5 linked regions of the Coturnix japonica genome follow. The protein of the gene in region 1 interacts with the protein of each later gene in a pairwise test. Links are inferred from orthologs where the notes say so. Each region holds a gene or a part of one and is shown on either strand. Other genes may lie near its edges.

Evidence for each region.
Region 2: the proteins of GIT1 (region 1) and PFDN1 interact in binary tests that used the Homo sapiens proteins (3 or more experiments, as listed by UniProt). The link is inferred for Coturnix japonica from reciprocal best matches to the Homo sapiens genes GIT1 and PFDN1.
Region 3: the proteins of GIT1 (region 1) and PPFIA4 interact in a two-hybrid assay, tested with the Homo sapiens proteins (2 studies listed by BioGRID). The link is inferred for Coturnix japonica from reciprocal best matches to the Homo sapiens genes GIT1 and PPFIA4.
Region 4: the proteins of GIT1 (region 1) and HMOX2 interact in a two-hybrid assay, tested with the Homo sapiens proteins (2 studies listed by BioGRID and IntAct). The link is inferred for Coturnix japonica from reciprocal best matches to the Homo sapiens genes GIT1 and HMOX2.
Region 5: the proteins of GIT1 (region 1) and LAMTOR5 interact in a two-hybrid assay, tested with the Homo sapiens proteins (2 studies listed by BioGRID and IntAct). The link is inferred for Coturnix japonica from reciprocal best matches to the Homo sapiens genes GIT1 and LAMTOR5.

Annotation. Positions count from the first base shown.
Region 1 is NC_029534.1:4,842,440-4,848,766, forward strand, and holds the start of GIT1 (ARF GTPase-activating protein GIT1), read right to left. Parts: upstream 3,828-6,327; 5' UTR 3,716-3,827; coding exon 3,664-3,715; intron 1,489-3,663; coding exon 1,355-1,488; intron 1,283-1,354; coding exon 1,170-1,282; intron 1,083-1,169; coding exon 977-1,082; intron 898-976; coding exon 811-897; intron 730-810; coding exon 599-729; intron 510-598; coding exon 415-509; intron 332-414; coding exon 289-331; intron 39-288; coding exon 12-38; intron 1-11. Other genes in the region: ANKRD13B (ankyrin repeat domain-containing protein 13B), read left to right, coding at 5,363-5,473. UniProt on the Homo sapiens protein: GTPase-activating protein for ADP ribosylation factor family members, including ARF1.
Region 2 is NC_029528.1:15,557,149-15,563,411, reverse strand, and holds the start of PFDN1 (prefoldin subunit 1), read left to right. Parts: upstream 1-2,462; 5' UTR 2,463-2,554; coding exon 2,555-2,587; intron 2,588-2,759; coding exon 2,760-2,926; intron 2,927-3,687; coding exon 3,688-3,762; intron 3,763-3,883; exon of another isoform or gene 3,884-4,017; intron 4,018-4,049; exon of another isoform or gene 4,050-6,263. UniProt on the Homo sapiens protein: Binds specifically to cytosolic chaperonin (c-CPN) and transfers target proteins to it. Binds to nascent polypeptide chain and promotes folding in an environment in which there are many competing pathways for nonnative proteins.
Region 3 is NC_029541.1:1,343,368-1,348,970, reverse strand, and holds part of PPFIA4 (liprin-alpha-4), read right to left. Parts: intron 5,577-5,603; coding exon 5,495-5,576; intron 4,990-5,494; coding exon 4,789-4,989; intron 4,205-4,788; coding exon 4,142-4,204; intron 3,072-4,141; coding exon 3,045-3,071; intron 2,688-3,044; coding exon 2,512-2,687; intron 2,136-2,511; coding exon 2,038-2,135; intron 1,408-2,037; coding exon 1,232-1,407; intron 1,026-1,231; coding exon 957-1,025; intron 324-956; coding exon 146-323; intron 1-145. UniProt on the Homo sapiens protein: May regulate the disassembly of focal adhesions. May localize receptor-like tyrosine phosphatases type 2A at specific sites on the plasma membrane, possibly regulating their interaction with the extracellular environment and their association with substrates.
Region 4 is NC_029529.1:10,967,115-10,973,172, forward strand, and holds the start of HMOX2 (heme oxygenase 2), read right to left. Parts: upstream 3,980-6,058; 5' UTR 3,928-3,979; coding exon 3,881-3,927; intron 3,824-3,880; exon of another isoform or gene 3,717-3,823; intron 1,952-3,716; coding exon 1,841-1,951; intron 560-1,840; coding exon 442-559; intron 199-441; coding exon 1-198. Other genes in the region: structure-specific endonuclease subunit SLX4, read right to left, coding at 5,285-5,621.
Region 5 is NC_029541.1:1,787,798-1,794,091, reverse strand, and holds LAMTOR5 (ragulator complex protein LAMTOR5), read left to right. Parts: upstream 1-2,721; 5' UTR 2,722-2,821; coding exon 2,822-2,856; intron 2,857-2,967; coding exon 2,968-3,029; intron 3,030-4,598; coding exon 4,599-4,716; intron 4,717-5,145; coding exon 5,146-5,206; 3' UTR 5,207-5,493; downstream 5,494-6,294. Other genes in the region: PROK1 (prokineticin-1), read right to left, coding at 292-363. UniProt on the Homo sapiens protein: As part of the Ragulator complex it is involved in amino acid sensing and activation of mTORC1, a signaling complex promoting cell growth in response to growth factors, energy levels, and amino acids.

The sequences.
Region 1 (6,327 bases):
GCGGACAATACCTCTGTGCCATGCACTTGGGGCGCACCCTGCGCTCCGGAGGCAGCAGTGGAGGGAAGAACAGGATAAAGGAGGACGTTAAACCGTGCGTGTGGCCCCCCCAGCACACACACACACACACACATATATACACATACATATACACACACACAGCCCCCCACACGCACACTCCATGTGATGTTCCAGTGGTGGTCACAGCTGTGGGGTCCCCCCCTCGGCCCAGTGGGGACACCAGGGGGGACAGTGGTGGTGGCGCAGCTGTGAGCACCGGGCACTCACCTGTCTGCCATCTGCGGGATGATGTAGTGCCCGTTCTTGTGGTCTGCACAGAGATAAGGGGTGGTGAGATCAGCCCCTCCGGCCCCTCCTAACCCCCCCATGCAATGCGATGGGTGCAGCACTCACCCGGCTTCCTGCCGCACAGGTAGAAGGCCAGCCGGTCGGTCAGCTCATACTGGCACTCCACCAGCCGCTCTGCCAGCTCGTGCTGGGCCGCCTGCCTACGGGGCACGGCCGGGGTGACACCAACCCTGGGCTGGCCACGTCCCTCCCATCCCAACACGACCCCCCACCACCCCAACGCTCTCACCTGGCGTAGTCGATGGGTGTCCTCCCATTGACGTCGGGCGCACCAGGGTCAGCACCGTACACCACCAGCAGCTCTGCCTGCAGGATCTGCCCTGCCTTGGCAGCCACGTGCAGCGGTGTGGTGCCCTTCTCCTGTGGGTACAGCCGGCGTCAGCCCCGTGATGACAACATCATGCCCCCCCCCCCGGGCTGTCTGCCCCCCCCAGAGCTCACCGGGTGGAAGAAATTGGCCTGAGCCCCCAGTGAGAGCAGCCGCAGACACGTCTCCAGGTTGCCCGTCCGCACGCTGGAGTGCAATTGCTGCAGGGGGAGAGGCAGCAGTCAGTGCCAGGAGTGTCAGCAGCACCAAGGGGGGGTCCCCATCACACCGTGCCCCCACCTTGCTGAGGTCCTTGGCGGTGACACCATCATCATCCCGGCACGGCAGCTTGTGCACGAAGGCCAACATCTGGTACTTGGCGCGGATGAACTCTGACTTGGTGGGGCTGGAGACACAGGGTGAGGGGGGGGGGACATCCACCACAGCTCCCCCCATCCCCACAGCCCCATCCCCACACACAGCCCTCACTTACTGCACTTTATCCTGGGGATTTGCCTTCCTGCGCCCGCTCTGCACCTGCGCCGGGTCCAGCAGCGAGTGCTCCCAGATGGAGTTGGCCCCATTGCTGGCCAAGGTGTGCACCATCTATGCATGGGGGGGGGCACAGTGAGCCGATGGGACACCCCCCTTGTAACCTCCCCCCCCGGGTGCACCCACCTGCAGCAGCGTGGCGGGCCAGGGGCTGTGCCGCAGGTGCTTGACGATGGAGATGTGGCGGCCCAGGCTGCGGTGCACGCTGCAGCACTCGTCGCAGATGAGCACACCGCGGTTGATGGAGGCCCAGCCCGGGTCTGCAGGGGGCGTGGGGTGTTATGTAGGGGGGGCTGTGTGTGGGGGGGGGCAGCGTCACCGTAGCAACATGGCGGTTTCCAGGGTGACGGAGAGGGGCTCAGCCCATCGCCAGGGGAAACCCAAAGGGTTCCCTTAGCAACCAAGGGGGGGGGGCAGGATTTGGCCCCCTCATCAGAAGGGCTGACAGCAGCGGGGGCGATGCCAGCACTGTGCAATACACCCTTACGTGCCGATGCTGTGTCCCCTGTGCTGCGGGTGTCCCCATACAGGTGGGTGCCCTCCCACCCACTCAGCCATCACGGACTCAGTGGCTGTGCCCCCCCCAGCAGCCCCACGCCCCCTGCCCGGCCCCGCTCGGCCGCACTGGAGCCCTTTGTGTCCCCAGGAGAACAAAGGGACGTTTGAGCACTGTGCTGGCACCGGCCCCGCTCCAGCCACGGGGGCCCCACCGTTCTTTGGGGGCAGCTCCCCACAGCCAGCACCCCAATGGGTCCAGATCCCCCGGCACCAACAGAAGGGATGGGGGACAGATGGGGTGCCACCCCCCCCTCCACAGGGGGCAGGGGCAGGGTGGGCCATACGGTCCCCAGCGTCCCTGTGCCATAGCAGAGGAGTGTTGTGCATCTATAGGGCCTACACAAACACCGCGCCGCCCCACGGGAGGAAGGGCTGCGGGTGGGAGGGGGCAGCAGCACCACCAGCGACCCACCCCCATCACCCAGTGCGGCGCTTCCTTCCCACCCCCTCCCCAAAACCCCACTGCTGCCCCACACCAGGCAGCCCCGACCCCTCTAATATGGGGGGCACAGCCGGCAGCGGCCACAAGGCAGTGTTGTCGTCGTCCCCCCCCCCAAATCCTGGCAGCACCGCCCGGGCAGATGGCAGCGCTTGGCAGCAGCACCGCCGCATCTGCGCCTCCGCACCGCGGCCCACGGGGCGCTGCCGGGAACAGGATGCTGCGTGCCGGGGGGGGGGCACCCCATATAGCACCCCATATAGCACCTCATATAGCACCCCATATAGGATCCCATATAGGACCCCATACAGCACCCCATACAGCACCTCGCAGTGCCACCCCTTCCTCCTTCATTGGGATCGGGGCGGCTGAGGGCACAGCAGAACGGTGCTACCCCATAACCCGGAGCAATGGGAAACTCCATCCCTGCGCCGCGGGGGCGATGCCGGAGCCGGGCACCCCGCACATCCCGACACCGGCTGCTCCCGGCCCCGCGATGTCGGAAGCGGCCTCTGGACTTTATAACTCATTTCCTCCCATGGCCGCCGGGCGATAAGGGATTGGGAGAAAAAGCTTTCCATTTCCCCCATAGGAACCTCGGCACCGCCGGGTACCTTATAACAGGGGCTGACCCACAGCAGTGGGTGACCCCGCAGCCCCCCATGCACGTGGCCGCCATCCTCAGGGCTCTGAGCCGCTTTCAACGTTCATTCATTGCCCCCAGCGCCGCAGGGATGGGTCTGGGGGTCACAATATGGGGGGGGAGCCATCTTTAGGGTATGTTATAGAGATAATGGGGTGCAGCGGGGATTCCCAGTGCGGGGTGTAAAAGGGGAACCCGGGGGTAAAGTAGGGGGTGAAGAGTGGGGGGTAATGGGGGGCAACAAGGGGCTGTAAGAGATAGAACAAGGGGTCTGGGGGGCACAGGGGGCATTTTAGGGCTCACTGTAGGGTTCCTGGGTGCAGAACAGGGGCACCGGGGGGCACAGTGCTGGGTGCCGAGAGGGAAAGTAGGGGTACAAAGGGATGGGGAATGGGGTGCACCGAGGGTTGCAGGGGGAACGGGGGGGGGGTTTATTTAGGGCACGTTGTGGGGTTGCTGTGGGCAAAGAGGGAGTCGGCAGGGTATGCAGGGGGAACCCTGGGCTCCTGGGGTCTCAGCACGGGGTGTGAAGGAAGGGTGGGGGTCACTGGGACCCCTGGGGTAAATAGGGGGTGCGGGGGGGGGAGGGAGGCACCGGGGTATCGCGGGTACAAAGCTGGGGGTTCAGAGCGGGGCAGCGGGGTCCAGAGCAAAGGGGGAGGGGGGCGTCATCCAGGTGCTGATGCTGGGGGGGAGGGGATGGAGGCACACGCACAACCGAACTGCGAACGGCCCCGCGTGGAGGAGGGTCGGGGGGGGATAACGCCGACGGGGCCGGGCGCGGCCCTTCCCTACCTGCGGCACTGCAGTCCGCGCACACCTCCGCCCGCTGCGCCTTCCGGGACATCCTCAGCGCCGAGCCGGGCCCGGGTCTCTGCGCCAGCGCGGAGCGGGGCCGGGGAAGGGGGGGATGGGGGGGTCGGGTTGGGGAGGGGTCGGGGGGGGGCGGCGGGGCTCGGGGCCGCCTCGCCCTCCTGCCGCCTGCCCTGCCGGCTGCTCGCAGCCCCGGCGGCTCCGCAGGAAGCGGCTCAGGCCCGGCCCCGGCGGAGGAGGAGCAGAACCGCCCCCGCCCCGCGCAGCGCAGCGCAGCGCAGCGCAGTCACGGCGCGCCCTGAGCAGCAGCGGGTGATGGAGCTGCGGCCCTTTGGGGCGGATCGGGGCCCGTCCTGGTGCTGGTTCTCGTCCTCATCCCGGCTCTGTCATCCTCTGGTTCTGGTCCCGGTTCTAGTCCTGATTCTGTGCGTCTCCTTGTTCTTGTCCCCATCCTGGTTCTGTTCCTGGGCATTCCCTGCCTCTGTTCTGGTCCTGCTTTTGGGTATTCCCTGCTCCTGGTCTTGGTCCTGGGTTAGTCTTGGACCTTGTCCTGGTCCCGGTTTTGTCCTGGACAACCCCTGGTTCTTGTCCTGATAGTGATCCGGATCCTGGGCATCCTCTGGACCCGGGCCTGGTTCTCATTTTGGTCCTGGTTCTGAGTTGGTCTCATTCTAGGCATCCATTGGTTCTGGTTTTAGCCTTGGTCCGTGTCCCGTTCCAGGTTCTGACCCAGCCCATGTCCCGGTTCTGATTCCATGCACTCCCCGGCCCTGCCCCCAGCCCCATTCCCAGCCCAGGGTCCCATCCTGCACCCGCACCCCCGAGGCCCCAAATCACCCCGACCCCCACCCCCACGATGGCTGAACCTGGCATAGTGTGTGTGGGGGGGTTTGATACTGGGGGTGCCCATCTCTGTGCCGTTGTCAGATGGGGTCGGGGGGCGCCACCCCCAGCCCGGGGGACCCCGATCAGCGCCCGGGGCTGGGGGCACAGCGCCGTGTCACGCTGCACCCGCCCGGCGCTGAGCTCACCGCTGCATGGCCGTGACGTCACGGGACAGCGGGACCTTTGGGGGGGGGTCGTCACGGCCACAGCCCACCATAGGGGCGGGGAAGGAGCGGGGTGACCCCGCGGGAACCCCATAGGGGCGTGGGGAGGGGTCGGAGGGTGGGGGGGGGGCAGCCGTGGGGCCCAACCTCGCATTGTTCTCTGGCGGCTGCCGGAAAACACGAGCGGAGGGACGGGGGCGGAAAGGGAAATGGGGCCGGGGGGGGGTCGGCACCCCACGGGCTCATCGCGGGGGTCGCGCTGCTGCGTGTTGAGCGCCCGTGGGTGGGGAGAGCGGGGGGGTGCGATAAGAATTCAGGTTGTGCCTTCGGGCGCTGCGGAGCCGTCCCCGAACAGCCCCATACAATGGGGGGGGGCATAGGGCCGGCGGGGGGTGCGGGGAGGAAAAGGAGGAGGAGGAGGAGGAGGAGGAGGAAGGGGCGACGCCGCGCTCAGTGACTACAAGTCCCATGAGGCCGGGCGGTGCGGGGGGAAGATGCGGGGGGGACCGTCCGGGCGGCTCCCACCCACCCCCCCCCCCCCACCGCCCCGCCCCGCTCCGCGCCCCGTTCCGCCCCGCCCCGCGCCCCGCTCCGCCCCGCGCCCCGCTCCGCCGCTCCAGCATGAACGGAGGATGCTCGCGTCTTGCTCGGGCAGGAAGGGGCCGGAGGGCAGATACCCGCTGCATTACCTCGTCTGGCACAACCGAGCCCGGGAGCTGGACCGGGAGCTCAGCGCCAAGCAGGTGGGGCGGCGGTGCGGAGCGGTGCGGTTCCGTTCGGTTCGGTTCGGGCTGATGCAACGCTGCGAGCTGGGCTGCGGCCGGGGCTGGGGCTGAGGAGAGGGATGGGGCTGGGGCTGGGGCTGGGGTCCTCCTGCCGCGGTGATGCTGATGGGGTGGGGGTCCCCTCGTGCTCCCCCCGGCGCTGTGACAGCCGTCACCGGAGCAGCAGAGATCCCCCCCATCTCGCATCCCCCCACTCCCAACCCCCCACATCCCTCCCCACGTGTTCCCCTCTCCCTCCTAGGCCTCTGTGCCTCCTCCCCAGCACCAGCCCCCCCCTCCCTCTCCCCGGAGGTGGGGTGCAGCCAGCACAGCCGCCCCAGCTCCCCACCCTCCGGGGGGGGGGGGCACACAAGGCCTTGCTCTGCTGAAGCGCAGCCCCCAGCCCCAGGCAGCCAGGAGGTTCTGTGCAGGGTGGGGGCACTCTCTGTGTGTGCTCCCCCCACTTCCAGCCTCCATCTCCCCATTGGCGTTGCAATTCAGGTAATTAAAACCCAACCCTGAAGACGCAGGAAACCGCAGGCTCTGGAGGAGGCCATGCCTTCCTTCCCCCCCCCCCCTCCAGCCACAGTCACTGCCACCTGCCCCCCCGCCACCCCGGGGTGCTGGGGGCCCAGCAGGGTGGGTGTGGGCAGGGGTCTCCTCGTGTTACGATGCTGCCATTGGGATGCAGAGATGCTCTCGCCACACCCGTCTCCATTGTGGGGCCATCTGTGGGGGGGGGGGGGAGCTGTCTGCCGGCATCACCCCCTGCCCCATCACCACTGTGCTGATGCAGTGTCATCTGGGGTCGGTTTTCTCGTTGCAGTGCAGAC
Region 2 (6,263 bases), on another chromosome or scaffold:
ACCCTTTGAGGCGACGCCGTCGTTACCGGCCTCCACCTGGACATAGAGCCATTGACCACCACCCTCTGTCTGCGGCCTTTGCAACCATTGCATTATCCATCTAGTTGTCCACCCATCAAATCCACCTCCCTCCAATTTGGAGATGAGGATGTGATGGGGGACCATGTCAAAGGCCTTGCTCAGGTCCAGGTAAATGACATCGGTCGCCTTCCCTTCATCCACCAACGCCGTCACTCCATCATAGAAGGCCACAAGATGTCCCTGTGCATTGCAGGGCAGCTGGACCAGGTGGCCTTCAGAAGTTCCTTCCAACTCTAAGGATTCTATGATTCTATTGCCACCTTCTTTACGTCCTTCCTTGGGCCTGTTGCTGCATAGTTTGGTGACATTTGGCAGCAGTGAAACTGCTTTCCCTGCCCTCCCCACTGTCTCCTCCGCAATTTGTTCTGTACCCTCTGTCTGATCTACTGAGTCATTTCCCCTCCTTAGATATTTCCTCTATTTATATACATATATAAAAAGCTTCCTTTTCCCTCCCACTTGTTCTTTGCTCATTACTTACTGCAACGTAACGCCTTGCAGCTGGGCATGGGAGTGCCCCATGCTGTTTCTCCATCACTGTGGCTGGGTGTGCTCCTCCCAGCAGCGGTCACTGGGTGCTGGGGTGCTGCCAGCCTGCCTCAGCTCTGCTCCAAATCCTACTTTTTAGACGATGCACTAGCTGCATAGCCAGGCTCTTACCATTCCCTTGATCCTCTGTTTCAGGGCTCGGCACTGATGCAGTTCTACCTCCTGGAAGATGTGAGCCATGGAGCCAGCACTGTCCCTGGGACCCTGAAGTGCAGCAGGATGAGGCTGCATCAGGGTTTACCTGGCAGCTGTGCCTCTGGAGGGAGCTTTGGTGGCCTCCAGATGGAGGGGGCTGGGAGCGATGCTCTCGTGCAGGCTCTGAGCCAAGCCGGCTGCATGGGACTCTCCAGCAGCTTGGGGCAGCCCCTGCAGTGTATGCAAGGGGACGAACTGTGAAAGGCTGGGAGAGCAGGCTCGAGGCTTCCGTGGGCACAGGAGGGGTGGGAGGGTAACAGCTATTTAACAAGAGAATGTTCCTTTTAAATTATATATTTATTTTAGATAAATTGTACATAGTATTTATATTTATTGGAGGTCTGCCTCTGTACCCTTTGTGTAACTCAAGATGACCCTTGTGTGGGTCAGACCTCCTTTATTTTTTAAGTGCAATGTAATATTCTAATAAATAACTTTGTAACAAACACGTGAGTTGTTGATTTAAGAGATGTGGGTCAGGTCTCCAAAGGGTACAGATAACAACTTGCCCTTTATGGTGGGGTACTAAAACTACCCAGGAGCATCTGTGGAGCAGCGGCACAGATCTCAAGCCTGCTGGCCTTGGGGTGCAGCAGGGATAATCCTGCTGGGGTACTCCCTGGAGGGGGGAGGGTTATGGGGAGCTGGGGTGTGGTCTGCCCTGCTCCTTGCCCTGGAACCTGCAGCTGTGGCAGCCCCGCGTGTTCTTGTATCTCGGCTGGCTCATGAATGGCTGCAATGCTTGGGTGAAGCAAAGCCACCTTGAGTTCAGCCACTGCAATCTAAATCCAGTGCCCAGCAGGGGCCTGGAGCAAGGCACTGAGCCCTGCCACCCAGCCTGCCTCCCTCGAGTGCTCCATCCCACTGCTGACACTCCTTGTGCCCCAGCACTGAGCCCTGCAACCTGCAGCACACCTCCTCCTCCACGAACACCGGCTGTTCTCCAGAGCAAGGCTCGTAGGCAGGCAGAATCTTTGGATTTAATTTAAAACCAAATCCAAACCAACACAGTGTGTTACAGCAGCCTGTTTGATAACCAAGTGTTGGTGCAGTGCAGTGCCACCATTGCTCACCTCACAGCCATGATCTGCATGGAGCAGAAGAGCTGCAGCACTGCAGGAGCGGAGCTCGGCCTGCGCTTCTGAGGGAGGCAGCCAAGGAGAAACCCCAAAGCTGCAGTGCTGCCTCCCTTTGGGAACAGCCACAGCCCCGCGGGTGGTTCCATTCCCCCCAGAGGAGCATTGGTGGGATGCTGTGAGGGCTGAGCACCTCCCCGATGAAGGCAGGCTGAGGGAGCCAGGCTTGTTCAGCCTAGAGAAGAGAAGGCTGTGGGGTGACATCATTGCAGCCTTCCAGCATTTAAAAGGGGATAATAAACAGGAGAGGAATCAGTTTTTTACTGGTGTGGACAGTGATAGGACAAGGGGGAAAGGTTTTAAGCCCAAGGAGGGAAGGTTTAGGCTGGATGTTGGGGGAAGTTCTACACATAGAGCGGGGAGGTGCTGGCACAGGCTGCACGGAGGGGCTGTGGATGCCCCATCCCTGGCTGTGTTCAAGGCCGGGCTGGATGGAGCCCTGTGCCATGTATCAGATATGGAGGTCGGTGGGCTGGAACCTGCTGCTCCTCGGCCCCCTCCCACCCCACCCCGCTCTAACCTCCATTCGGCCGCAGCCCGCTCCGCCCCGCCCTCCCACCGCCCCCACTGCGCAGGCGCCGAGCGTGGGGAAGATGGCGGCGCCCGTTGACTTGGAGCTGAAGAAGGTAACGGGTGTCCGGCTCCGTCCGACGTGTTTCTCGGGCCGCTGCTCCCCCTCCTCCCCCTCCTCCCCCTCCTCTCCCCGCAGTTTGGGCCGGCTCGGCCCGGCCGGGCGCCCCCCGCCCCTCTGCCCCCGGCCCGGCCGCAGCCGCTCGACGTGCCGCTCTGCCACCACAGGCCTTCACGGAGCTGCAGGCCAAGGTGATCGACACGCAGCAGAAGGTGAAGCTCGCCGACATCCAGATCGAGCAGCTCAGCAAGAGCAAGAAGCACGCGCACCTCACCGACACCGAGATCATGACGCTGGTGGACGAGACGCGCATGTACGAGGGCGTGGGCAGGATGTGAGTAGCGGCCGCACCGTCCCTGCAGAAGCAGGGATGCTGGGCTCCACGAGGAGCATCGGGGGAGCATCAGTGTGCACCCGGAGTATCGGTGTGCACCCGGAGTATCGGTGTGCACCCGGAGCATCAGTGTGCACCCGGAGCATCGGTGTGCACCCGGAGCATCGGTGTGCACCCGGAGCATCGGTGTGCACCCGGAGCATCGGTGTGCACCCGGAGCATCGGTGTGCACCCGGAGTATCGGTGTGCACCCGGAGTATCGGTGTGCACCCGGAGCATCAGTGTGCACCCGGAGTATCGGTGTGCACCCGGAGCATCGGTGTGCACCCGGAGTATCGGTGTGCACCCGGAGTATCGGTGTGCACCCGGAGCATCGGTGTGCACCCGGGCACGGTGCCCTGGGCAGCACCAGCGAGTGTGTGTCGGGCTGGTGGTGTCCACGTGCCTCAGCATTTGGAAGTGAGCACGAGGCTGATGCGCACTCGAGGAGCCGCCTGCCCGCGCTGGGTGGTGTCTCACACCTCACACCTGCAGTGATGCACCTGGGTTATTCTGGCAGCGCAGCTCTGACTGCAGCAGCCTCATGAAGTGCAACACACAAACTGGGTTCCAGTCTGACGTGTGTGCTGACTCACTGTGCCGTGCTAACTTTCTGTGTGTGCTTTTTCTCTTCCATTGTGAACTGGGCAACAGTGATGATTACGCTTATTCAGGGATGATGTTTTATAGAAGGTTGAATCTGATTTGATTGCTGCCCACAGGGCGATTGCATCTCCCCGCTCCCAACTCTCCTTTGTGCTGCAGCAGACTTGTAGCTGGTTCAGCCTGCTGTTGCGGTGAGTTCCTGGGCCTGATTCATGTCATCACACAATCTGTTGGGTGAGTCTTAGGGAGCTGCGGGCTGGGAAGCCAGGACTGGTATGTGGACTGCGCTTCACTGGTAGTTGTCAGGTAAGACCAATGGGAAAATGAAGCTGTGCCTGGGTTCATCCTGGGCAGCCTGATCTAGTATTTGGCAGCCCTGCCTGCCGCAGAGGGTTGAAGCTCAGTGGTCTCTAGGTCCTTCCCAACTGAAGCTCAGTGGTCTCTAGGTCCTTCCCAACTGAAGCTCAGTGGTCTCTAGGTCCTTTCCAACTGAAGCTACTCTGTGATTTTGATGGGGGGGTGTGTAGCGTGACAGCCTTCTTTGGACCACTGTGGAATTACTCCTGTTAAGTTTTCCAAGCAGATGAACTTGGGTTTGTGTGGAGCTGCTGATGATGTTGAAAGGAGATAGAATTTGCAGATCTCTTGCAGGAGATAGCTGATATGACCCAGGCAGGCTGTAGGCTCATTGTTTTTGTCACAGAAAAGACAAACTAAGAGATTCTGGAAGCAACAATTTTTCTTCAAATTTTTTTTTATTTTTTTATCTTTAATCTTAAAGCAGGGTATACTTCTCCATTATGAAATAATTCCTCAAGATTCTTTGAAAGCATCAATATATCAGCCTTCATTGTAAAATGTTGGTTGTGAATGAGATAATGTTTCTGTGCTAACTGAAAAGTACTGTCCTGCTTTCAACCCAGCTGCTGGAGTCCAGTCTTTTTGAGACTGTACTCTTGCTTACCTTCATGTGACCGGGCAGGTGGTTCAGACTCTGCTGTGCAGCACTTTGCTCCTCAGTGATGGTAGAAAAATACTATCTGCATGATATTAGTCTTCAAATGTTTGAAGTGTGAACTCTTTGCGGGTTCTGTTGTCCTAGTCACTATGCAAATTCAGGTTAAGAGTGCTCATGCTCTCCAAACTACTTATTCACTGATTTATTTTACTTTTATTTCCCCTTCCTTAGCTTACTGCAGTGTTTCTGTGAGTTATGCCTGATTTGGCCATGGGGCTTAAGTCTGCCTTTCAAATTAGTAGTTCTATTTGGGTAGAACGAGCTATTCCAGGACTTTGTGAAAACGGAGTGTTTCAGGAATGTGATGGTGTGCTGTATCCTGGGAAGAAGTCTACCTAGTTCCATACTTCTGCGCTACTTGTAAAGAATTATGTGGTTCCTGCTCTGAGCCCAGAGCCTGCTTCCTGCCCAAGAGGCTTTCCCTGAGCCACTGGCAAATGTGAAAGCCCATTTGTTGTTCCTAAACATTTACTGTAGCTAATTTTGGTTTAACACAACCATTGTCAGTGCCACATAGTATGAGGTGATGAATTGCTGTGTACTGTACATATCTGTTTGACTAGGATATCATCTGAGTAGTGGCACCGTGCCAAATACATTTTCATTCTCTTACTTCATGCTCTTTGAAAGGCTTGTTATCTAGCCTGAGACAACTACCACTGTGGTGGACTCCTGCTTAAGCTATTTGTGAACTGATATCATCGTGCTGCTTTGAGAACTATGCCGAAAGCTTAAGCTTCAGAATTTTGTCTGAATGCTTCCGACCTTTCCCTTCACATTCCATTAAATAATGACCTGGGCCAGCTTCTTACTTACCAAAGGAAAACATCAGGGGTTTATGCTGGGCACAGTGAGGAGACCACTGCAGTTTTTCATGCCATGCCAAAATAGATGTTCCATTTTGTTTTGATGTTGCTTTATCATTAGTTTTCTCTCATTTGCTGTAGAAGTAAAAATCAAGCAAATGCTGTAGCACACCTTTATGCTTCAGGGTTTCTGTGAGTGTACTATTTCTACAGAGATGGCTGTGATAATGGAATTTTTTATTTTATTTTTTCAAAAACAGCTCAGATTTTTTGGCAGAACCGTACGTGAGTGAAAGCTGTGAGAGGATTCAAGGTTTTTGAGCATTTATTGGGTTTGAATGCACTCCCATTTTTAGTACGATTCTGAATTTTGCTTCTAAATAAGACATCACAGATAATTGTAAACTTTCCTAAAAGTTTTCCAATGGTGTATTTTTGGATGCAGCAGCAAGAGCAGATTTTTGTTTTGTTTTGCGCTGTGTGTGTGTGTGGTTCTCTGAGGACAGATCACTGCAGAACGTGGTAGCCAGCCTCTGCTTCCTGCTCAGGTTTCCAAAACTCACTAAGAATGGAAGGACAGGCAAGGCTTTGTATTTATGGTTTGGTTACTATGTATAGGTCGGCCTGTGAAATCCAAGTGGCCACTATTTCCCATTGCCTTAGGTAAGGCTTTGTGCAGGTTCAGTGCTGAACCCCAGCTGCTGAGTAGCTGGCAGGTGCTGTGATACTTAAATGGATCCCAGGACAAATGTGTTGCTGTCTGCCTCTGGCCAATATGTACATCATAAGTATGAAGCTCACTTATCTTAATATTGAAAAAGTGAAGGTTTAATTTTCCACATAAAGTCTGGTTTGTCCAGTGAAGTAG
Region 3 (5,603 bases), on another chromosome or scaffold:
ACATTTATCCGGCAGCAGTTGTGTATTGAATCCACATGAGTCAAAGTGAGAGGCTTTGTACCTTTGGGGATGCAGCAAAAGGTTTAGGACAGTGGCATAGGGTTACCTGGTCCAGAAGGGACCCTGCTGGGAAGGGTTGGCCTACCTTCTGGGGGCATTTTCTTGGCAGGGGCAGATGGAGGTGGCAATGGCACCAGGCTGGTGACGCGGAAGCCAGCAGGCAGCGTCTCAGCTGAGCCACTGAGCATGTTGATGCTGTGAACATCTCGTGGGCGAAAGCGCTTTCTCCAGGACGGGGTCCGACGGAAGGTTTTGTCATCACCCTGAGATAGAAGAGCAGGTTGTGAACCCAGCAGCAAGGACAGCAGGACCTCCCACCCCTGTGAGATATCCTCACTGCTTTCATCTAACTGTGCAGGTGCCCCAGTAAAAACCCAAAGGGAAGCATCTAACTGTGTACTTATCTGGAAGCACCTACTTGTCTTCATGCTCTAAAGAGAGCTCTGACCAGCTCTGCTATCATATCTCATGCAAGAAAGCTGTATGTAGGACAGATCTAGATAAATTCCCTCCTTCAGTGACTCAATGTGAACAGCTTTCTGACTGCATAACAGGGTATCTCCAACCCACGCTTTACCAGCTGCTAACATGTCATGAACAGAACATCTGTGCCTCTAAAAAGCTACAAAAAAATAGCTGGCAAGAAAAGCTGGGTGATTCCTCCTCAAATTCAACCTGTTAAGCACTAGAAGAGATGCACAGGATTCTACCTCACTTGCTTCCATAGACTGTTTTGAATTTTAAATGATTTAGTTTTAATTTATTCCACTGCTCGTGCAACTGCTACTTGTCTCCGCAGGACAAGTGGGGAGAGAGAAGTAGTTCTGTTCTTCCCATTTCTTGAACAAGAACAGGTACCCAGCACAATTCGAGTATGGGAGAGTCTTCGTACTCACATCGTCCAACCTTCGATCTGTGCCCAATGCAAGCAGATTGTTGAACTCCCTCTCCAACACTTGTCGAGCCTGAAAATAACATCAAATGAATGTTCTCCATCTATGGGAGCAGCTCCAAGCACAGCTCCCCAACCCAGCCCTGAGAACGATGGAGAAAAAGCCCATTGACCATCAGAGTGCTCTGCTTTGAAAGGCAGAGTTGAGTTGGTGGGAGTCGCAATGCAGCTATGTCCCAGCCATCCTCCTCCAAAATCTCCCATGGAAGCTCTCCTTACCTGTGTGTTCTGCGTGGGGATTTGCAGCACGAGAGCCAGACTGTTGTGGTCAAAGTTTTCATCAAGGGCCAGGAGTGCCCCGTGCACCCCGCTCTCAACGAGGTTGTTGGCGTACTCGCGGAGCCCGATGGACTGGATCCAATGAATGACCTGGTCATTGGTCCACACCAACACGTCTGCAAAAGAACAAGAGCATGTTACAAGGAAGCCCAGACAGTGCTCTTGGTTGTGCAGTAGGCTGGGATGTGCTGGAGTCCTGCCACACAGCCCCAGGCTGAGTCTCCTTCCTGGGCCAGCAGCAGTGACGTGTAGCTAAGTGCCAGGAATGGCTCACTTCAAGTTACCAAACTAAATGCAGAAATGACAGGCAGAAAACAACTGTGAAAATTAATCCTAAGAGCCCTGGATCGATGATGTAATTAGGGGCATTATCAATAATGAGTTGTAATCTAAGCACAGGAAATGTCAGGATAGCCAACAAGGAAGGAGAGATTGATAAGCTGGGGGGTGTCCTAAGCATCTGAAAGGAGCAGGAGGAGACGCTGATCTGATGCTGGGACAAGGCCCTTCATGTCTTGACACCCTCCCTCCTTACTTATGCTTGACTGGGGTGAGATTAAAGGTACTTGGAACAATTAGCAGGGGAAATACTGCAGAGAGAACAGCCCTACAGGCATGAGCATTGCTCAGAAATACTGATTTTCATTTAGCAAGTGCTGTGTTATGAATATGAGAGAGACCATTACTGGGCATTTCTTTGAAGGTTTCTTGTCGGCTTTTCCACGATGGTGGATGTAGCTGCTGACCTTTGATTTCGTGCTGAGTCTCTTCTCGCCTCCTGTCAAGCTCTTTGCGGTCGTAGTTGAGCCTCTTCAGGCACATAATGCCATACTGTAGGCTGGTGCTGCAAGGACATAAGACATCACCCAACCTTCAGGAGGGCAGACACTTTGGAGGGACCCTGCAGAGGGACCCACTTTCCTACTAACTCTCCATGTGCCCAAAGGATGTTTTGGTGTAGGACTGAGTCATCATAGATGAATTTCAAAGGGATGATCTTAGCCAGAAGATGGAGAATGAACATCCCTCCCTTTTGTGGGAGTCCCCATGTCCATCAGTTTTATCCTGTTCTAAGAGCAGGCTGTCCCAAGTTTGGCCCAGATGAGCCACCCTCCAGCACTGAGGCTGGCCAAGACAGAGGAGAATCCCTCAAAATCCCCCATCCCCTGATCCACATGCAGGTACTGCACCTCAAGGACCTCCCAAAGGGGAGGACTCACCGATGGAAACTGTCCACCATCTTCAAGTGCACTCTGAGGTCTTTCTTGGTGAGGTGGTCCAGCATCCGTGCATCAACAAGACACTCCATGAAGTAACTGCGATACTGAGGGAGGCCCAGGCTGGGCAGCCACTCGTTCCCAATCCACTCATGGTTCATGTCCCCATAGGCCAGTGTCTGTGAAAGCAAATAGAGAAGCTAGGAAAAAAACAGGGCTCAGAAGACCTGCAGAAAGCCCCAGGAGATCAGTGACAGCTCAGTGCTGCAGCATGGTGGTCCACTGTCCTGAGAACTACATGTGGACTGGGGTGTTCAACCCTATTTTGGGCTGGAGGAGCTGGGGGGAATGGTCCTGTTGGCCATGACCCATGTTATGCTCATAGAGAAAGCACTGTGTGCAGGCTCAACTCCAAGCAGGACTCATCATGTGCTGATGCCCCATGCTTATTCCTTGGGTGCCCCGTCGTGTCCAGCTCTCCCTCCCACATCCACCCCACGTACCATTCAATGAATGAGACACAGTGGAGACCTCACCTGTGCCCAGCTGCCTTCCTCTGTGTCCTAAGCGTGACACATGCAGCATGTCAATAGAAAGGACAGGTAAAGTCAGTACACGGCAGCACTTCACAGTGACAGCTTATGCCACGTGTGCCAAGCATGGGACCCCTCAGCATGGTGTGACTATGATGGGCTTGTGGGGCTCAGCCTTGTTAGCAGGGTGCTGGGGATATCCCAGCCCTGCAAGGACTCAGGATTCATGACATCTCTGTCAAGCAAGGATGTTGGATGGGGCTTTTTTAACAGGTCTTTGGCATTAGCTGGCACAGACACTAGAGCTTAGACATCCATCATGGGAAATATGGGCAGCTCTTGGGTCACCTCAATCTGCCAATTTTGCAGCTTGTTATCACGGGCTGGTTTCTCTCAGCCTCACAAAACCTACAAGGGAAAGTGTGGCATTCCAGCTGTAACTCTGAACTCCCTGTCCCCAAAAGATCCCATTGCCAATAACAAACCTCTGTGCCACCCAGACAGCAGGCATGAGCTTCAGTAAAATGCCAAATTAATTCACACTGCCAACCCAAACTGCTGCCCCAGCTCTGAGACACAGACAGAAGGTCATTAAGCTGCTGAGAGGGGAGCGTGGTTACATCCCTCCAAAGAACCCAGAGCTCTTGGGAGCATGGCTACATCTCTCTGAGGAACCTCAACGTATCAACCAGCGGTAGGGACAGCAGGGGCAATATTTGGGCATGCTAATGCCAATGGGAAAGTGACTTCTCTGGGTGTTGGCTGACCAATGTGGATCTCAGTCTCATGCATCTATCTGAGATCACTCTTGTATTTTTCTTTCCTGTTTAACTCATAGCTGGCACTAGAAACCCAGCAACATCCACGGGGGCTTGACAAAGGAAAATGCATCTGATGTTTTTTTTTTAAGCCAGCTTTAGAAATCGTTGGGATATTAAAGACTGAAAGATGGTTTCTAAACAGGTGCATGGTGCTGGCCAAGAGCTGACACATGAGACACAGCAAAGATCCCCTTCCCTCCCGGGGTTTACTGCCTTAATGCACGCCTGGAGCTCAGCTCGGTAACTGATCCGCCATGGCGGCAGGGCAGCCAGCCTCACCGTCTTGGTGGACGTCGCCATGTTCTCCATCTCCTCGTGGGTCACCCAGACATTTCCAGAGGACTGGAGGAGAAAAGGGCAGAGAGGATAAAGTGAGCTGCTGTAGAACCAGGGCTCACAGCTACAGTGGACACAAGCCCGGCTCAGGGTGAAGGAGGATCAGAGCATCCTCACATGTGGAGCAGAGCCAGGGGGCACACAGCAGCATCCCTGCAGTTTGGGATGGTGACATCTGGGTTGTCCATAGAGCCATAGAGAGTGCAGCAAGATCTAGTGGCATTCTGTCTGCCTTTATACTTTGGTTTTATGTTCACAGAGCCTGCAGGCTTGCCTATGACAGCTGTGACCCCAGACAGGGCCATGTGAGGGCATGCCTGGGGCTGTTCCTTTTGCTGACTGTATTTCTACAGACATGTCTTGGCTTACTGGGGCACCATTAACCCCTTGGGGGCTTTAGAGACCAGCACAAGCTACAATCCCACTATCAGCCCCATGTATTATCCAGGGCAAGTGGGAGATCTGTGTTAAACACTGGCAAGTTCTTGCTGCACTTCCCTGCAATACTGGGACTCTCTGGGGGCTGATGAGCCACTGTGGTCCTACAGTGCCAGGGGATGGGGAAAACAGCTGTGGGATGGAGTGCTTACTGTCCGTGAGGTGGGTGGTGCTGATGGGCTCGTGAGTGAAACCATCTCCTGGATGGCCAGTCGCAGCTTTAGGCGATGCAGCGCGTTGCTGATGCCAATCTCCCTCTGGATCTCGGTGTCAGACAGGGCTGACATGATGGCTCCACTCTTCACGTTGGCTCGGCAAGCAGCAACGTACCAGGCTGGCATCCCTACCCAGAGCTGTTGAGACAGGGCAAAGTTGGGTATCCACCCAGGGAGGGTAGAGGACATCCAGTCTGAAGCTCCATATCAAGGCTGCATACCCAGGTTGGGATCCATTTTTGTTTGGACCTTGCATAGATTGCCTGTGGACACAGCAGCTTCTCTATATCTCATGGGTAGAGCATAGGGAATGCACATCCACTGAGCCTTTCAACTCAAGAGCTTGAAGAAACCCCAAAGGACAGCCTTGTAGACATGAGAGAGATATGGGGAATTGCTCTGCTCCCCCAGCTCCACTCAATTGGATCTACAGATGCTCCTTTGCCACCTCCCTTCTCAACAGGAGAGCACAGAAAACATCTCCATGTCTTGGGAAAGGGTTTGGAGTTGCTGAGCGTGGGTTGTTTTGCAACCACCACCCACATGCATGGAGCAAAATGGGACTGCAGGGTTCTGTACCCCTGCCAGGTGAACACACTGCAGACTGTGTGTGGGGACAATGTGTGGGCACACTCTGCCTCACCTCCAGCCAGGAGACAACAGTGGGACCATCCCAATGAGCAAAGGGCAATCCCTTCCTCCGAGCTTCTTCCAGAAGTTCATGCCTGGAGCAAAAAGAAGCAGAAGAGTGA
Region 4 (6,058 bases), on another chromosome or scaffold:
ATATTGCTGAGTTGCATCTGAACATTGTATCTTCTCTTTCCAATCTTCTCCATAGAAATATTTCATGTCTTTAATCAACGCTTCTTTCCGGTGAAGCTCTAGAGGGAAATACAAAGGAGCAAACACTGGGTTGTCCTTATTGCGATCCATTTCCTCTTCCAGAGCAGAGTATGTGAAGTAAAGTGCTGTGGTAGCCAGCTATGGATAAAACACAGTGAACATAAGTTGTTTGCTTTATTGCACATTGTACCTTGTGACTACTCTGTCCCCTCATAGAACTGGGCTACACAAGGAAACCCCAGGCTTGACAACACCCCCCACCCCTCAGCCCCCCGTCCACCCCTTACACATGGGCCTGTGTTGTTCTGCCTCAGCAAGTCCCCAGCTGCAGTCATCAAATATAAGAGTTTCTCTGCCAAGGCCAAGCAGAGCCACACTCACCTTGAAGAGCTCCTTCTTGATCCGTCCTTTCAGGAAGTCTTTGACAAACTGAGTATTCTCTGCACGGTCATGGGATTCCTTAGTTCCCTCCTTCAGAAGTTCTGAAAGGTCACTGGGGCTGCAGGCAAGCAGGGAGAGCTCCTTTCACTCCATTTCCACATACAGTCATGAGTTTGTCCTTACTGAATTTGTAGGAACCCTCCAGCCTTGCCATCACAGGCTCAGTCTGGTGCAGGTTCAGAGCAGGGATCCCTTGGGCCAGCCCTGCTGGCTGGAACCAGCATCACCCCAGGAAGTGTCAGGGTGGCAGCAGCCAGGGCTCCCACCTTAATATCCTCCTTGGTCTCTTTGCAGAAGACAGCCTTGGGTAGGAGTGGATGGACACATACAGGCAGAACTTGAGCTTTTCTGACTGGGGCACCAAAGGTATTGCATTAATCATAGAATGGCCTGGGTTGAAAAGGACCTCAAAGATCATCTGGTTTCAAACCCCCCTGCTGTGTGCATGGTCACCAACCACCAGCTCAGGCTGCCCAGAGCCACATTCAGCCTGGCCTTGAATGCCCCCAGGGATGGGGCATCCACAGCCTCCCTGGGCAAACACTGAAGATGAGAGCCCAGTGACAAAATAGGGCATGAACACTCTTAAAGGGAAAAAAACAAAAACAAAAACCATGTATTTCTCCTGAATTCTGCTGGTTCTGCATGTTTCCACAAGCTCTCCTTCTAAAAACTTATTATCTTGGATCACAGCTACTGCACTTACCTGGAATTCAGTACAGGTATCAACACCTACACCCACAAAATTATGCCACAGTGCACCTAACCCTGTTTTTATGGCTGGTTTGCAACAGGTAACATGTTTATATCAGCTGTAAAAAAGATGTTTTGAATGCTCCATACTCATGCATTTAACAGGCTGAACACAACAGGAAAGCCAGGGAGTGGTAACCTCCATGAAGCTGAGCCTGTCAAGTCAAAGAGCAATCAGCTCACTTCAGTATTCTGGAACCACCCAACTCACCATTCTCATATAAGGAAAATTTTCCCTATAAAACACAGTTTAGAGAGCAGCTGCACTGTGTATAACAGCACACAGCTATTTGTTGTTTGGAGGGATAACCAACCATTCTGTTCAGACCTTTGAAGAAGTTCTGCAGAACTTGCTCTGCGTACATCACCTTACAGGAACAGCCTCTGTTCCTTTGCAGCCTTTGCATTTGTTCCTATGCTGTAGGAACATCTAACCCCAACTGCAGGGCAGCCTCAGTCTTGGCTGGACTGGTTTTCAGCTGGAGAAGACCACGTATGAACAAGGAGATCACTGAACTTGAGCTTGATATGCCCTGCCCAAACCCAGCTCTGTGCCACGTTACCAGACAGTGCCAGCAGCACCCACCTGACATTGTCATCTTCCACATCCTCATAGCGTAAGCTTTCCCCTTCATCTCCTCCTTCTGAGCTCTCCATAACTGACGGCATTGCTGGTTTGTTCTGGAGATCAGAGACTCTGAAAGGCAAAATTAGAGAGGGATTTTAGAGGGAAGCTGCCTTAACAAGAGCAATGGGGAAGAAACACAGAGCAGACCAACAGGGAGCCCTGCAGCTGCACCACCATGCAGGGTGGTGAGGGGCAGCCACCTGATGTTTTTATAGAAGCCTTCCCTGCAACAGAGCAGATAACATTCCAAAACAGAGGTAGATTTTCTTTCTCATACGATATAACAGCACACACAAGAAGTACCCAGAGCCAGGAGCAAGACACTTGGCTTACACCAGCTGAATACTCTGGCTTGGCCATAAATCCAGGCATCCCATTTATAAAATGGAGCTGTAATCAGCTTTGTGCTGATTACTCCCCCAAATTACAGGCAGCCTTGGCAGATGAGCAAGGAGCTAAGCTTCCTGCTGGCTCTTCAGCAAACCATGGCTGTAAAGGAGCCGGCTCCCCTCCCAGTGCTGGGTTCAGGCCTCCCTGGTAGGCTGCATCTGGGGACAGGAGGAGAGCAGATCAGACAAGCAGTTGAGAGCAGGCCAAGCAAGTTCATACAGAGCATGAGCTGGCAGAACAGTCAGTGGCTCCACACTCATGAGATGCAAAAGCAAAGGATGCTAGTTATAAATTAACCACCCTCCAGTTCCTCACCTACTTCTAAACCTCTCAGGAGCCCTGGACACCCTGCAGAGCTCTGTCCCACGATGCAGCTGCTGGTCAAAGCGATGCTCACTTGGAGCACTCCACTCCTCTGAGAGAGGCAGTGACCTACACATACAGAGCTCCCAGCAGCTGCCTGCTTGTGCTTCATGGGCTGGAGCACTGCTGCATTTGCTATGAGGCTCCTGGCTGACATTCAGAGTAAACACAGTCACCAGCAGCCTGCCTGGGAGGGATCCAGCAGCCACAGGAGTCAGGACAGCAGGGCTGGAGAAGATTTGGTATAGAACAGCTCAGCTCCAAATATTTCTTTCCCAATAACAGCACTCGGCCCCTCCTATAAAATACCTCCATCTCATCCAGCCAGCAGTTTGTTTTCCCCCTACACAGCAAGCTTCACACTCAACATGCACAGCTATTGCTCTCAGTGCAGGCAGAATAAATAATTCTATGCCTTCTAAAGGAATCCAAGAGACACTGCTGCAGTAAGGAAACAAGAGTGGAAGTCCTGGCTTTGCTTGGGCACTCTCATGAGTTCAGTAACTGACAGGACAAGCACTCGACACAGAGTTCATCTCTGCTATTCAACCAGCACACAGCTCCAAGGCATTCCCCAAACACACACGGCTGAGCTCCTTGCTTTAAAGCATCTCTGAAGGGGAAGGCAGACCCCAGAGATGGGATCTTTGATTGAGGTCATGACCAAGGAGCCCACAGAACAAATGGCTGCGTTACCAGATCCCACCTGGATTTAAGGCTCCACCTGGATTTAAGCCACGCTCCAAGCCCAATCAAACACTGTTTATCTCCCAGAGCTGCAGCCCAGCACATCAACGACTGAGGAATGAAGCACCTATAGAGAGCACAGCTCACTTGTCCAGCCCTGCCTTCAGGGGTTATGTTCTCCTATGGGCTGTGAGGGCAGCGCAGTGACACACACAGACATTAGAGCAGCCCGGAGCATCCTCGCACCCCGCAGCTCCCAGCGCTGAGGCTGATGGAGGTAACACAGGATGGACACGGGGAGGCCCAAACAAGGCCCCGACCCACCCCCACCCTCAGCACCAGGCCGCAACCAGCCCACCCAGCGGGCCCAGCACCCACCGGGCCCAGCACCCACCGGGCAGCGCTAGGAAGGACCAGACAGACACCTCGACCACCCCAGGACAAGCCCAAGGCCTCAGCAAGGCCTCAGCCCTATTGCGGCCCAGCAGCCCGGCCCGCCGCCACCTCAGCGCGACCCCGGCCCGGCCTTGTTGCCATGGAGACGCGGCGCACACTCACCCGCCGCCCGCTCGGTATGACAAAGGGCCGCAGCTGCCGGGCCGCATTTACCCCGCGGGGAGAGCTGTGATTGGAGGAGAAGGCTGTACGTCACAGCGAGGGGTGGAGCTTCCGCTCTGCCCCGCCTCACCGGCAGCCAATGGGGACACGGGGCGTCACGGCAAGCCCCGCCCCCTCGGTTTGATATTGCGCATGCGCCGACGGCAGCGTGGTCAATCCTTATCACATAGGTCAATCCTTATCACTTCGGTCAATAGCAATACATTTCCATGTCGCCTCTTCACACAGACTATGTGAACTCCACATTGTGCACAGCTCCTCCTGCTCTCATCCAAACCCAACGTTTCTGCTTAGAAACACCCCTAAAAGTCCCTCGGGAGACATCACTTATAGCTTAGTATTATTTCCTTCCGAATTATTTATTGTATATAAATCAAATAAAACCGAGGCAGTGCTGGATCAAACAAAATAATAAAGACGTTCCAAATACATAAATACATTCAAATCAAGCTTTTGCTTCTTTTGATTATTGCGCCTGTTTTGCTGAGTGAGAATCTGCAGACTCAGAGCAAAATCCAAAGGTGTTGTAAAAGTTAATAAATAAGGTGAAATAAGGTGAATATTTAGTGTCCGAGGCTTCCCCAAGAGACCCAGACAGTTTCCAACCAAGGATCGGTTCAGTTTGGAAATGAAACAGGTCCACAAAGATCAGGACATGAGAACTGCTGGAGAGATCCATTGGTCACTACAACATTGTCCTTAAAAAAGCCACTGTTGGGATCACAGGCTACAATGATAAGGTAAAACAGTGCTCAGAAAACGGAGCTGGTAATGTCTTTAGCACCAATGTCTGCATGTAAGTGAACACACGCAACTGAACGTACAAACCTTAATGGCTTCTACCTGACATCTGGTGTCACAGAGCACTTCGGGGAGCCACCACAAATAGAGCAGAAAAACACCTGCACTGTGCTGCAGCCACTTGTGAAACACACATGGGTTATTGCAGTCAGTACTGGAACATGAAGGGTTCAGGCCAAGGCTGGGGCAAATACCATGGCAAGCACCACTGGAGGAAGCAACCACCTCAGAAGCACCAACAAGAAGAGATGCTGGGGATCTAAAACCTGCTAAAATGGTAAGAGAAGAGAATGCACAGGATGAAACTCAGGGAATGTAAAAAGGCTCCTTGAAAGAGGAGTTTGTGCAGCTCAGAGGAGGGCTGAGAGCTGAAGCTCAGTTCAGATCCATTCTCCAGCGTGTCATCTGGACAGCAGGCCACAAGGAGGAGCAGTGCACCCACTGATCACACCACCTCCGCCAGCACCAGCCTGGAATAGGGTTTCCACCTTAGGAGGAAGGCCTCCATGTAGGAAATTTTCAGGATAGAGGAGTGGGATCTATTCAGTATCGTTTCCTCTTTTTTTTGCTCCCTTTTCTCTTCTGTTCCTTCTCTTTCCGGGCTCCAGCTGTGGTGAAGGTGATGCACTGAGCATCTAAGAAGTCCAGCAGCTTTGCCTTGGAAATCTTAATACCATTCAGTTTCAACTCTGCATGTAGGTCAGCCAGCTCAATAGGTTCATAGAAGAGAATCCTCTCGTACAGGGCTGGGTTTGAGCGGATGTAGCTCCTCACTGCCTCCAGTTTTTCTTCTTCCCGAGCTGCTGCCTGGGACGCTGGAAGTTCTTCTTCCTCCTCTTCAGCTGCAAATGCACAGGCCTCCAATTCCTTCACAAAAGAACTAGAAAGAAGGCCAAGAAGACCCAAAATCAAAGAAAGAACAAGCCGTGAAGGACAGAACCAGATCTCCCTAAGTAGCTGGTGGCCCGCCCTTGTGACAACCATCTGTAGGGTCATAGATTGATATCAGTACACACACACTGAGTGAAGAACAAGGCACATGTTCTACAAACTTTCCCATTCCAGCCATGAGAGCTCCCGTCCTGCTCTTTGAGGCCTGGAACTGGCCGGCATTCCTTGCTCCTGACCCACACCACCTACTGCTGCTTTACTGCGGCCTTCTCTGTCAAATACTACTGTGCCCTCCTTTCCCCATGCCAGATGCAGCTCTCAGCCAATGCTTGTTCTTAAGAGTAGTGACTGGGCATGCCAGACATGGGCCTTGCCTGCATGTGGCCTCAGCCACCAGCTTTTGTGCTCTGGGAATAGCTCAATGGG
Region 5 (6,294 bases), on another chromosome or scaffold:
GGGTTCACACCAAACGTGACTTTGCACGGTGCAGGGTGGGAGACTGTAGGGCAAGTTCAAAGCACGCTGAGCTCAGGGCAGCAAATTCAGCCCCCACTTTGAACAGACAAAGCAGAACACAGCAAAACCCAACACAGATCAAACCCATGCATCACACTTCAGAGAGCAAGAGAAGCAGCACAAGGATAAGGATACTGACCCATAGGGATGCTGAGCACCATTGGTGCCTTATCTCCAAATAAAACCAGCCATAAAATGACCCCAAATGCTGAGTGCTGAGGCTGCACTTACCCCTGTGATCACAGCTCCATGGTGGGAGGGCAGCAGCAGCAGCAGGCAGAGGGTCTGCAGCAGCCACCTCATGGTGCTGTTGTCTGCCTGCACCGCCTGCACCCCGGCCCTATATACCCCCCTGCCCTCCCCTCCAGCCTGGGTGGGTTATTGGGTTGTTTTTAACCTCCCAATCAGAGCAAGCAGATGAGACCTGCATCGTTAATAGTAGGAAAGAAATATTCTTTTCCCAGCGAGGAAGGGGGGGTGGAATACTCACAGAGCAGCCATCCCGCCCCCATCCATATCCCAGGGTTATTTCTCAGCTCAGCTAACACAGCTGGATTTGTTGGGCTGGTGCATATTTATCCCTGACAGGTGTAGCTGAGGATCAGATTGAGAATTAGCAGTTCTGGAGCTAAAAGGAGATAGATATAAAGGGCCGTCGTGGATGGTACATGATGTGTAAATGACTCAATTGGTGCTTCATAGGATAGTGGGATATCCTGAGTGTGTCCCCCCTCTCTATGGGTCTGATTGAATCTGGAGCGTCTGTTGGGAGCACATGGAAACAAGAGCAGGGATTGCTAGAGCTTAAAAACAGGAGAGGATGAACCGTCAGCATCTGCTTTTATTTACACATTGTGGGAGGGTGTGAGGGACAGAGCTCTGCATGGAGAAAGCTTCATGAATCCATAGAAATACACAGCTGTGGCTGGTGCTTGTCCTGTGCTCCCATGGCCCAGCCTGGGTTCCCATTGCCCAGTGCCATGTGTGCCCAGGAGGTGGCAATGCTCCTTTACACAAGGGCTCGAAGTAAGTCTCTATTGAAGGAGCATTACTGATATTGACCCACTGAATGGAATCTCTCCAGCCCTGGACTTCAAGGCACCATCCCTGTAACATCCAGGCTGCCAAACAGCAGAACAGCTTTGCTTCCTGCTGTCTCTGACAGCAGAATTTCTCTTGCACAGCATCAATCCCATGTTAAATTATCTATTTAATTGCCTAAAAATAGCCCGGCTATTTCCCCCTCCAAAGGCCAGCGTCCCCTTTGAAGTGGCAGCTGTTCTCCTGCTTTGCTGAAGTCTCCACCTGGTCTTGAATTAATTTCTCCCAGTCCTCAGAAATTCCTCCGTCCTAAAGCCTCACTGCAGGGAATGGGCCATCAGCTGGGATTCTGGGGTCCCTGTGTGTGTATGTATGGGGGGGATTCAACCTTAATAGGGCACAGCTGTATCTTATTCCTGTGTTCCCCCCCACAAAGGAGGGTGAAAATAACCCAAAATGGAGCTCTGGGACAGGCAGGATATCCAGTATGGGGGGGATGCAATGGGATTGGAGTGACTGGTGACGATTCCAACTCAATCAAGAAGGGGAAAAAAATTGAAAGAGAAATAAAACTAAGAAAAATCACCACTGCATTTCACTTCCCCCATCAATAACATTTTAATTTTCCAGCCTGACATGATAAGATCCATTGCCAGGGCTGAGCTGGATGCGTTTCAGCCATCAGTCTCAGGCTCTGATGGCTCTGCCATCCATCACCTCCTGCACACTGAAAGCAGGGCACGAATGGCTGTGATACAACACTACAGCCCCACGTCCTCTGTGGGAGTGGGTGTGGGGCCCTTACAGCTCTTTGGGGACAAATACAGGGCATAAAGAAAGGTATGGAGCTGTGTTGGGATGGACAGGATGGGTGTTAGGAAAAGGCTGAGCACCAGAGGGAGGTGGGCATGGCACAGCTCCACAGGGCAGGGGCACCCAAAACCATAGGGGTTGGGTGGAGGGAGTTGGACTTAGTGGTACCTGTAGGTCCTCATTGACCAGTGGTTGACTAATGGTTAACCAATGGTTGACCAGCTGTTGACTAGTGGTTGGCTTCTGGTTGACCAGTGCTTGCCCAGCAGTTGACTTGTGGTTGGCTAATGGTTGACCAGCAGTTGACTAGTGGCTGACTACTAGTTGACCAATGGTTGACCAGCAGTTGACCAATGGTTGACCAGTGGTTGACCAATGGTTGACCAACAGTTGACCAGTGGTTGACCAGTGGTTGACCAATGGTTGACCAGCGGTTGACCGGTGGTTGACTAGTGGCTGACCAATGATTGATTAATGGTTGACCAGTGGTTGACCAGCAGTTGACCAGTGGTTGACAATGGTTGACCAGCAGTTGACCAACAGTTGACTAGTGGTTAACAGTGGTTGACCAATGGTTGACCAGTGGTTGACCAGCAGTTGACCAATGGTTGACCAATGATTGACCAATGGTTGACCAATGGTTGACCAGCAGTTGACCGGTGGTTGGCTAGTGGTTGACCAATGGTTGACCAGCAGTTGACCAGTGGTTGACTACTAGTTGACCAATGGTTGACCAATGGTTGACCAGTGGTTGCCCAATGGGAACATACCGGTGCTGCTCAGGGCGGTTCCCGTACATTGGCTTCGCTTTTTGGCCCTGCGGAGCCACCGTAGCGTGCATCACATGACCGACGCAGCTGCCAGGAGCCGCCGAGAAGGGCGGAAGTGAAGGCGACAGGGGGGCGGCATGGAGGGGAGCCTGGAGCAGCACCTGGAGGACACGTACGGACCGGGATGGGGGCGGCGGGACCGAGGGGCTGGGGGGGGGAAGGAAGGCAAGGCCGCGGGCTGGGGGCTGGGTGTAGGCCGGGCTGACCGCCGCTTCTCCCGCAGCATGAAGAACCCGGCCGTGGTGGGAGTCCTGTGCACCGACTCGCAAGGCCTCAACCTGGGGTGTGAGTATGGGAGCGACCAGGGCAGGGCCTGGGTTAGGGGTGGGCATGGGGACACACATAGAGCCCCTATAGACCCCCATAGAGCCCCTATGGACCCCCTATGGACCCCTATGGACCCCCCCCATAGGACCCCTATGGACCCCTATAGAACCCCTGTCCCCCATAGAACCCCTGTGGACCCCCCCGCATAGAACCCCTATGGACCCCCCTATAGGACCCCTGTGGACCCCGCATAGAACCCCTGTCCCCCATAGAACCCTTATGGACCCCCCATAGAACCCCTATGGACCCCCTGTGGACCCTCATAGAACCCCTATGGACCCCTATAGAATCCCTGTCCCGCATAGAACCCCTGTGGACCCCCCCGCGTAGAACCCCTATGGACCCCCCTAGTAAACCCCCTATGACCCCCCCAGTATAAGACCCCTATGGACCCCGTATAGAACTTCCTGTCCACCATATAACCACTGTGCGACACCCCCCATAGAAACCCCTGTGGACCCCCTCATTAGAACCCCCCCCCAAACCACAGAACCCCTGTGGACCCCCCTGGATAGAACCCCTTGGTGACCCCCCATTAGAACCCCTATGACCCCCATAGATAAAAAAAAAAAACCCCCCCCCCCCCCCCTTAGAAACCCTGTGCCCCCCTGGCATAGAACCCCTTTGGGACCCCACCCAGTAGAAACCCCTATGGACCCCCTCCCCATATAACCCTATGGACCCCCCCCATATAACCCTATGGACCCCCCCATAGAACCCTATTGACCCCCCCATAGAACCCCTATGGACCCCCCATAGAACCCCTGTGGACACCCCATAGAACCCCCCCCATAGAACCCCTGTGGACCCCACCCCCAGTAGAACCCCTGTGACCCCCCCACATAGAACCCCAGACCCATAGAATCCCTGTGGACCCCCCATTACGAACCCCTATTACCCCCCCATAGAACCCCGTATTGGAACCCCCATAGAACCCCCCATAGAAACTCACGCATCGCAATGCGTGTCTGGATGCATACCCCCAAAGAACCCCCCCATAGAACCCCTTGGACCCCCCCCATAGAACCCCTGTGGACCCCCCTGCATAGAACCCCTGTGGACCCCCCTGCATAGAACCCCTGTGGACCCCCCATAGAACCCCTATGGACCCCCTTTGGGACCCCCCCCCCATAGAACCCTTATGACCCTCCATAGAAACCCCTGTGGACCCCCTGTAGAGCCCCTGTGGACCCCGCATAGAACCCCTTATGGACCCCCCCATAGAACCCCAATGGACTCCCATAGAAGCACCAGCACAGGTTGCCCCTAGCTAGATGTGGGTGCTCTGGCCCTGGAGACACTGGAAGTCAGGGATGGGGGCTGTGAGCATCTGCTGGAGCTATGGGTGTCCCTGTTCATTGCAGGGGGGTTGGGCTGATGGCCTTTATATGTCCCTACCAACTCATGTGATTCTTTGATCTGGGGAGGTACTACATCAGCTTACAGCAATAAGGGAAGGAAGTGGGGATGGGGAGCTGCCTCCCATCACGGTGTGCGTGAGTTCAACCCACATCTCCCCTCTTGCAGGCCGAGGAACGCTCTCAGATGAACATGCTGGAGTCATCTCTGTGCTGGCCCAGCAGGCAGCCAAGCTCACCTCCGACCCAACCGACACTCCTGTGGTGTGCCTGGAGTCAGACAGTGGGTGAGCATCCAGCCCAAGGCTGCTGCTCTTCCCTTTTTCCCCACCCCAAATCTCCAGAGCAGAGCTCTCCATCTTCTATTTCACTGGCAGAGCTGGAGGAAGCCCCATTGCTGAAGCTGTGTTGGGAGGGGGGTATGAAAAGAAGTCAGATTCATGGGACCTCAGGCTTTGGGAACTGCAGAAGCAGCTGGAAGCCTTTCAGGGGCTGGTGGTTGCTGCAGCACTGTATTTCTTTTGCTTTTTGGATCCCCATGGATTATTTAGCCCATGCTGTAGTGTCGTTTTGGTCAGCAGGACTCCATCATCCCCCTTTGTGGGAACAGCTGACAGGTCTGGCACTGAGCTGCCCATCTGGTTTCCCAGCCAAGTCAGCTCCTGCTCTCCCAGCTGGTTTCTCACCTTCCTCTGACAGCACTTTCCTTGCTCTAGGAACATCATGATCCAGAAGCATGACAGCATCACCGTAGCAGTGCACAAGTTGGCATCCTGACCGTGGCATCCTGATGCTCCATTCCCTGCTCCAGACCAGCTCCTCCTCATTCTCCTTGGCTGTTCCAATGCAGAACACGCTTCTAGTACCAAATCTGGGCTGAAGGCTCTCCCTCTCTACTTACCAGCTCCTATGCATCTATCAGGGTTTCCAGCTCACGTTTTAGCAGTCGTGCTGTTAAAGACGTGAGTCACTCACCAAGCTTGTGTAATGATAGATACTACAAGGTGTGTGTGTGTGTGCGTGGCCTTATTTGTTGGAGAAATCAATAAATGACCTGCAAAAACTGTTGCTTCTCTTTGATCCTACTGTGAAAGCCCATTGCTTTCCCTAAAGCCAATTGGAGGGACTTCTCCCAGTCTGATTCTTCATTGGCATTGCTGCAGAGAAAAGGGACCAAGACTTGGAGGTCCCTCCAGTAGAAGAGATACAAATAGTTCTCTATTCTCCTAGGAAATGTTTAGCCTCCTCTGGTTAAGCTTTCAGTGAGAGCAGCTTATTATTATGCTTCGGATTGAAGTTCAAACCTCAACTTGTTGGCCCTCGTGTGAACTGTGAACGGATGCTGATGACATCCCCGCGAATCCTCTCTTCCCTTTAGAGGTTTGAGCATTTGGAACTGGGCAGAACAATCCCATAGAAAGGCCCTGAAAAGCTGCTTTGCTCGAATGCTTCCGCAGCACAAGGGAGCAGACAGGAGCTGGCCTCATACGTGGAGCAGAAAGGAGGCTTCACTGCAGAGCATAGACCAACAGATAGGGCAGGGTTGGAGCTAAAACTGCATTCACTGTGTAAAACAGACATTCCTGACCTCACCATCACTGTTATGTATGTAGCAGGCTCTAAGGATGGGCTGCTCTGCACAGCGCTCTCATGGTGAGGTTGGTGCTAATGGAGGTGAGCAGTGCTACATCATGCCCATCATTTACCTCCCCTTTATTTTCTTTAATGCTCAGTTTCCAAGCTCATCTCCTCAAAACAGAGTGCAGACGCCCATTTTAAATAGCCCCAATAAATAGCCATGGGCTCCTATAAGAGCAAAAGTTAAAGGGCTGTGAGCACTCAGCTCTCCCATTAACAAGCCCTGG